Schizosaccharomyces pombe: one gene and its partner. Changing the gene in region 1 together with any one later gene gives a genetic interaction. Each region holds a gene or a part of one and is shown on either strand. Other genes may lie near its edges.

The links. A genetic interaction does not mean that the proteins touch.
Region 2: of gnr1 (region 1) and git5, changing one suppresses a phenotype caused by changing the other (phenotypic suppression), as found in Schizosaccharomyces pombe (one study listed by BioGRID).

The regions. Positions count from the first base shown.
Region 1 is NC_003421.2:765,105-769,243, forward strand, and holds gnr1 (heterotrimeric G protein beta subunit Gnr1 ), read right to left. Parts: upstream 2,440-4,139; 5' UTR 2,266-2,439; coding exon 1,066-2,265; 3' UTR 832-1,065; downstream 1-831. Other genes in the region: wybutosine biosynthesis protein Tyw1, read right to left, coding at 2,882-4,139. UniProt on the Schizosaccharomyces pombe protein: Negatively regulates the pheromone-response pathway. Acts as a structural mimic of the G protein beta subunit thereby interacting with gpa1 which then inhibits gpa1 signaling.
Region 2 is NC_003423.3:1,462,089-1,466,245, forward strand, and holds git5 (heterotrimeric G protein beta (WD repeat) subunit Git5), read left to right. Parts: upstream 1-1,760; 5' UTR 1,761-2,237; coding exon 2,238-3,155; 3' UTR 3,156-3,657; downstream 3,658-4,157. Other genes in the region: mug93 (TPR repeat-containing protein), read left to right, coding at 11-995; putative alpha-1,2-mannosyltransferase Omh5, read right to left, coding at 3,723-3,947, 4,050-4,157. UniProt on the Schizosaccharomyces pombe protein: Beta subunit of the heterotrimeric guanine nucleotide-binding protein (G protein) involved in glucose-induced cAMP signaling.

The sequences.
Region 1 (4,139 bases):
GTTTTCAATTTCCGCTATACTTTTGTTACCGGTCTTTATCATACTTGCACTATACAATATTATCGCAAATATTTAACGTCTCGTTGGTTTCGCCGAAGGACCGCCCCGCGGCTGTCTCGGTTCACTCTCCAACAGTACTCCAGACTGTGGTAACGTGTTTGTATGCAGCGTAGAAGGATTTGTTTATAAGATTTCAATCTTTTTTCTTTTTCTTTTTTTTTTCTTGGTTTTAGAATTTTTATTTTTATATATTTATTGATTAATTGATTTACTTATTGATAGATTGGTTGGTTCATTTTTTTTCTTTCATCTTTTTCCAATCTATATGTATGTGTATATAAATATTTTTTATTTTATTATTTATTTTTTATTTATTTATTTTTTTCATTTCCCTCTATTTATTCACTCCGGATCACTTCCATCCTTATGTTATTTTAAAAAAAAATTTTTTTTTTCTTGTTCTATACTTCTGTTTATTTTCATGTCCTTTTCATTTCGTTCAATTAATTTCATTCCATTTCCTTTTCTAATATTTTTTTTCCTTTGCGATCGCTACCTTTTCCATACATATCTTGTTTTTTCCTCCATAGTATCCACCTTGTAAAACAAAATTCAATTAAATTGAAAAATTAATATTTTTAACAAATTTTTGAAAAGTTCGAAACTGCTGATTTACAATTTTCATCCATTCTTTGCTTTCCATTTTCTCCATTTCTCCTCTACTTGCGACACTTGGAAATCCATGTATAACCGAGTTTAAGGTTATTTAATAAGCGAATGTGTAGTTTTATTAATACAAAGATTGTTGCGCTCTTATAATCAACTATTTGCATAAAATTCATCTCTTTTATTTTTTAATTTATCATAATCTAAATAATGAAACCCCTCAACATGTCTGAGGACTCCTCCTGATTGCGAAAAAAACACCCATTCACCAATACACCAATTTAGAACCGGTTTTCTAATGTTTTTCTATTAATAATCAAATCATCCTCATAAAGTTCTTCCTTCAAGCTCACCATTTTTTATTTTTTCAAGTATTCATTCATTCCAAATTTTGCTTTTTCAATCCATCCAAACCTGTAAAGCCGAAACCGTTCCTGTCCAAAGATCCTTCTCTTTACTTTCATCCTCTTCTTCACTTTCATCCTTCTCATACTTGTAAATTCTATTTCCATAACATACACACTTTATCTGCATGTTTATAGGGTTCGCTTGTACTGTGTTTACCGTCAAATCGTAATTTCCCGTCACATGCGTTTCTTCCACAAGATCCTTGTTTCTCCATCTACGAATACTTCCATCCGTCCCACCTGCCAAAATTTCATCCTTTTTATCAGTGTCGAAAAGAATCCTTTGGTTCGTATCGCCACGATGCCCTTCAAGAGCATATACCATGTCGCGCACATACCGTATATCCCAAACTTCAATCTTATCACTGCATCTGCTTCCAACATATAACTTTTCTCCATCCTCACACCATTGTAGATGTGTCACTCCGTTTCCTCTTTCAATCGAAAACTCTAGCTGACAAGGGCGACGTCCGCAATCATTATAAATCCCAACTCGATTTGAATACGTTCCCACTGCCAATGTTTTCGAATCCATCGGATTCAAGGAAAAGCATGACTGTATACCCTTAAGACTAAATTCCCAAAGAGGGACTTTATATCCATGGGTTACCGTTGTCATGACAGGTTCTTTACATCCCGTTCTTATATTAAAATGATGGAGACAGTTTTTATCACCCGCAATCAAATACTCCCCATCGTTGGTAAACTGTAAACAATGCGATCCTTGATATCTCTCTTGGTGATCTATCATGTGATATGAAGCCTTGTTCTTTCCTGTAGTAAAATTGATCAACTTGATAGGTTGATCCCTACTAGACACTGCAAAAAGGTTACTGGAAGGATCGTCAAGTTTCATTCTCGAATACCAACTGTAACTGTAAACTGTTTCCGGTGATTGATATTTATACGACAGATGTTTTGAAAAGTTCAATGGTCCATCAGCCTTTTTGGATAAATCGGAAAACGGCACATTCCAACAGTTAAGACATTGATCCTCTGTTAACGAAAGTATAGTCGATCCATCCGGCGACCATCTTGACGAATGAAAAAAATTCAATGGCTTTGTTGGACTTTGAGCAATCACATTTGTTCCTAAATTAATACTTCCGCATACATAGCCGAAATTTTGACTTTTCTTCTTATGCACCAAGTCATCCTTCTGATCCTCAAAGGAGTTTACACAATTATCCATTCCTTCCTCAAGTTAACCTACTTTATTAACCATGTATGGATTATGGCTCTTCACAATGTCAACTTTAATTTTTTAAATATATAATATATATATGGATTTCTTTCTATCTGGTCATAAGGGTTGAAAACGAATAGTCCTTCTTTAAAAAACGAATTGTAATCATATGTAGTAGTTGTAATCTCAGTATGCTCGAATTACTCCAAGACATTTCCACGAGTCCTAAAACAGAAAGAATGTATTCTTTGTTTCTCAATCATAAAAAAAAAAGAAAATTAAAAGTTACGACTCAGGTTACTATATAAATAAAAATAGAGACAGGTTGCGATATACTTGTCTAACTAAAAAAACAATTGAGTACAATATCGTCAACATTTTTATTACTTTACGCCCATTGAAACTATAAATATATGAACGAAATTAAGCAAATAAGCCTTCATCGTTTTTTTGTATTGATAAATCAAAAAATATATTAATGAATTAACGAAAATAACCTATGCCAAAATCTTAATTTTTTTTTATCAATGAGTGCAGACGCGTACAAAAACTGCTCAACAGTTCATAAACTTTAGAGTGTGTCACTCTTTTTTTTCTTCAGCTATTTACTACAAAAGTTGGCTTACGCAGCGGCTTCCGAAATTGTAGCAGTTTCTGAAATGGTTGCAGAAATTGGTTTAGATGTTTGTGTCTTTTTCTTCCTGTGAAATCTTGTATCCTCTGGACTGAATCCACCGTTCCCAAACATGGCAAAATCGGGCGTGGATGCCATATAATCGAATGGACCAAAGTCTTTCTTTGTCCGTATTAATTCGAAAAACTTTGGATAATCAATGTGAGTATGCCAATGGCCATCTTTTTTGAACGCAGTTTGAGCAACTAAAATACTGCAGCTGTGTGCATGTTCTGCAGCAATTTCATAGCGGACGCCAAGGTCTTGTAAATGAATATCAATATACTCAATCAATTTTTTAACAAAGTCAATTACCTCTTCATAATAAGGCACATTCTTCATAGTCAACGGTGATTGATCCGAATTACCACTATAAGTAACCCCCTTAACTTCGATGAAACAAGGCACACCAAGACGAATCAGTTCAGTATACTCTTTAATTTGCTCCATGTTGAATCCCTTCACCAAGGTCATTCGGTAAACAGTACGCTGCCGCTTTTCACGTAAAATCTCCAAACACGTTAGCATTCGCTCCCAAAAATCCTTGAATAATGGTCGGTCTACTGATTTGAGACTCTGCTTAGTACTGGCATCAACAGAAACGTAGAGTTGAGTGACCATACCCATATTTCTTAATGCTTCAGGATGCTGGGCATTTGTTACTAAGAACGATGAAATCTCTCTTTCATGAAGCATGGACACAAATTCGTTTATGTATGGATAAAATATAGGCTCTCCAACCAAGGACAAAGCACAGTGACGAACACGAGACGCTTCTTCATATCTGTCGGGTAGAACACCAGGTACACCTTTCATTAATTTTAACTTGGCATAATGAGCCTTCAATATACCCTGAAGTATCATTTCTGGAGGATCAACCTTCCAGCGCCAAGAGGTTCCTACGGGATTCGTACCATGTCTCCAACAAAAAGTACATTTATTAGCACAGGCTAAACTTGGGGTAGCTTCCATACATAGATGACTTCGAATTCCATAGAAACTATACTTATAGCAAAAGCCTCGGCCACGCATAGCAGACTTTGTCCATCTGCAAATCTTTACACCACTATGTGAGCCAACTACGCTGTATCCCTGCTTTGTAAGGGCTTTATACGTAGGAGACTCTGTCGAAACCATCTCTTTAGTACCCACTGGCAAGGCTGCTTCTGCCTTTGCCTTGGCCATCATGGAACCCATATCCTCAACA
Region 2 (4,157 bases), on another chromosome or scaffold:
TTGCATGCAGCTATACTAAAGTAGTTCATGACTGTACATATGCTCTAGTCATCAATCCGTATGATAAAAAAGTGATATGGAGGAGAGGACTAGCTTATTTGCGACTTGGACATCCTCACTTAGCCAATCGTGATTGGGAGCATTCACTTGAACTGGACCCAAACAATACATACATCCAAAAATCTCTTCATAGATTAAAGGAAGTGTATTACATTTACAGAGAATGTGCAGAAACATGGCAGTTAAGACACCTTAGAGTTGCTTCTTCTCAGCAATTACCTGTAGGATTGCGAAAACAATACCCTAATATAATTCGTGGCAAGATCTGGTGGAAGAAAGTGCACGACAATTGCCAATTGTGTGGACAGCAATGCGAACTGAAAAAGGAGAATCTTTCAGCAATGCGGTCTATGCTTTACATGGCAAATACTTATGCAAAGGATGATACCGAAAATCACTCGCCCAGCGCCCAAATCGGAATAGAAAGCTCGGAGGACGAATTAGAAAATAAAATAACTAAGGGAGAACACTCTCTATTGGTCCCAGAGGAACTGTACAGATCCAATTACCCATGCCCTCAAAACATAGATCAGTTTCTTTATATGATAAAAGTCCTATCTGCCCCCTGTTTGTACATTGAAACGTTTTCATTTCCTATTTCCACAATTAATCAATTGTTCAAAGCTCATGGAATGTCGGTTGAGCAGTTAAATTTATTCTTAAAATCAATACACTATATCGGATTGTGTTCAAGGTTTTGCAAGCAATGGTCCGACAAGGCACGATCGCTGATGCAAGCGTTGAGTGGGCTGCCGTGGTTCAGTTTTGTCGTGCAACATTGTTTACATATAACGGCAGCTCAAATTCTTTTGCATATTCCTGACATCCAAGAAGAAGAATTCAGAAACTGGCATGTTTCCAAAAAACCCATCAACAATACTGATCTCTCTTCTGAATTTGAAATTGCAGAGATCCCAATCAATTGCTACACATGATAACATTGATGACAATAAATTTTTGTATGTTAAGTCAGTCCAGAAACCATCGATGCAATCATTTGGAGTAGAAGGCATTAATAACCGTGTGTAGTTTATGAATAACACATTCATTGTATATCAACCTCTTATTTTCAGTGCTGAAATAATCATTATCAACCACATGAAGCTATATATTTGTGGGCAAAGTAGAAATGTTTGCCATTTTGTTTACCGCCGGATACACCAAGCAATGAAGACAGTCATCGACCCAATACACAAGTATTGTCCGTCAAATGTTAAGTGTAATTGTTAAAGAAATTGAACAAAATGAAAGAGACAAAAAAACTTTCAAGACAGTTTTGTGTTGCACACCAATACTGCCGTTTCTCATACTCTGAGTATATGCCATGAATCGCATATTCACGATTTAATCAAAATAAAAAAGATATCCAAAATATCTACATCTCTGTTACTAAATTGCTTGTTTATTTATAACAAAGCCATTTCACAGATACACAGCCAACGTGGTAAAGCAACCCTTTTCTCATAATCGCTACAACAGCAAAAAAATATATGTCTAATGCAGGTTTTTCAATTTTCTATTATCTCTATTAACTAAACGTTCATTTCATACAATTTTATCGGTATGGCAAGGTTATGGTAGTCTACAAGTTGAAAACCGCAGAATGAATCGGCTATTATATGCTTACGATGAGGATGACGTATTCCATATGTTTGTGTTACGCTGCACACACTATGACGGTTTCCCAATACTCTTCTTTTGACCTTAGCTCTTTACATAAATTCCAGTAAAAAAGCGAAGAAAGCCGTTTTTTTGTGTTTGTTGAAAAACGATACGTTGGTCCTTTTGGTGTTTATGTTTTTGTGCTTGTATTAGAATAATAGATTGTATAGAGGCTTGTCATCGTAAAATTGTTTCAAAGGCGAACGCCAATTTTAACATTAGAGCTTGCAATTCTTTAAACGAAGCACCATTACTATTCTCTTCCTTTTTTTTGTATTGTTTTTCTTTTATTTTTTACTCTTTAGGGTGGATTTAAAGTTGGGCACCCCTGTAGGAGTATTCTAAATTTGTTGTTGTGAGAGTAGTTTATCAGGTGGATTTATATTCTTTTCGCTTTTCTTCCTAAGATCTTTAGTATCCTTATTTCCTCCCCTTTCTTTGTGAGTATATCGTATAGGAACAGTTACGTTACTGTTGTATGAATATTAGACGGAATACTGGTTCAATTTCTAAAGATGGATTCTGGGTCAAGAGTAAACGTCAACATTCAAGGGACTCGAGTTCTCAAAAACAAGCTGGGAAAAATTCCTGACATCGACATATCTACAGATGGAAAGTACTTATTATCTGCATCAACGAATGATGTTCTGTTAGTTTGGGATTTGCACACTTCCAACAAAGTTGCGTTCTTTGAAGCACCAAGCGTATGGATTATGACTTGTGCATTCTCACCCTCCACTAAGAGCATAGCAGCTGGAGGGCTGAACAACTTTTGCGTAGTATACGATACCAGTGTTCCAGATGCGGATCCGGTCGAATTGGTTGGGCATGCAGGATTTGTTTCGTGCTGTAAGTATGTCGATGACGGTCATTTGCTTACGGGTTCTGGCGATAAAACTTGCATGTTTTGGGACATAGAGCAGGCAAAAGCCATTAGCGTTTTGAAAGGTCATGAAATGGATATTGTCTCTCTAGATTTCCTACCCTCAAATCCCAATTTATTTGTTACCGGAGGCTGTGACAAATTAGCCAAGCTCTGGGACCTTCGGGCTGCTTATTGTTGTGCCACATTTCCCGGAAATACATCGGATATTAATTCCATTTCCTTTTTTCCTTCTAACGCTGATTTTGTTACGGGTGCAGAGGATGGTATCGCTCGGTGCTTTGACATTCGTGCTTCTGCTGAGATATTCCAGTATTCATCTCCATCATCCTCCCCCATTAATTCAGTCTTATTTTCCAAGTCTGGAAAACTTCTTTTTATCGCAAAAGATAAAACATGCGAGGTTTGGGATTCCATCTCAAGCAAAACCATCACATCATTAACAGGCCATGAAAATCGAATTAGCTCTTTAGCTTTAACTTCTGATGGAACAATGTTGGCAACTGGCTCTTGGGACGAATGTGTTCGTCTCTGGTCTTCGTCAGGGTAAATTAATGATTTTTTTTCTCCTTTTTTTTTTGTCTTTGGAAATGATGATGTTTGTTTTGTTTTTTTTTCTTATACATTTACGTTTTCGATTCTAGGAGGTTGACTGCTTCATGTCCCACTGGTTTATTATTTTTCTTAATTTTTTATACGTTTATGCGTGGTTTCGTGATGCTTTACTGATAATGTATTCATAAACCCTTGTGTACTAATTCCCTATTTTTTTCGTTACGTTTCTCTTTTATTTCTAAACAAAAATATACCTTTTCGAAAATTTCGCCTTGCAAAGGTTGGCGCTTTTTTATTACTATTTAATTATTGCGATTTTGTAAACGTTTAATCCTAACGATTACCCTTTAGTCTTTTTTTCTTAAAGGTATTTTTCTTCTTACGTATGATAATAAACTTTTTTATAAATGTTGTCTTGCTGTTTTTTAAAACTTATTTTTATGAAAGAACAACCCAAATATTAAATTCTTTTATTAAATAAAATTCTATGTATGTATACTACGAATTGAAAGAAACTGTAAATAGCTATAATACAAAGAGCGTAAAGTACCCGTATTCGCTCTTATTCATCTAAAAATCCCCCCATCACCGATGCCCACTCGTTAATACAAGAACCTGGCTTAGTTTCATAATCGGGTATGTTGAAGGGGCAATCACAATTACAACCATATTCTTGACCACAGTGTTGAATTGTGGAATGTTGATACCCAAGGTCTCTAAAGTAATGGACTTGAGATCGATTAAGGAGAAGACCCACTGCTAGCGAATGCACCGGAGCATCGCCCCACTAAAATAAGTTAGTAATCAGAGATAGGAAAAAAGTATGAAGAAGATTGCACTTCGAAGAACACAATGCTTTTTTTTTTTTGAATAAACTGTAAAAACATACCCTTTCAGTCCAAAATCCTCCAGCATTTTCCAATGCGTCGACATATTCATTATACTCTTTACTATTGTAAAAGTCTAAGCGTGCAATTTCGAAGTTACTCCAAAAATG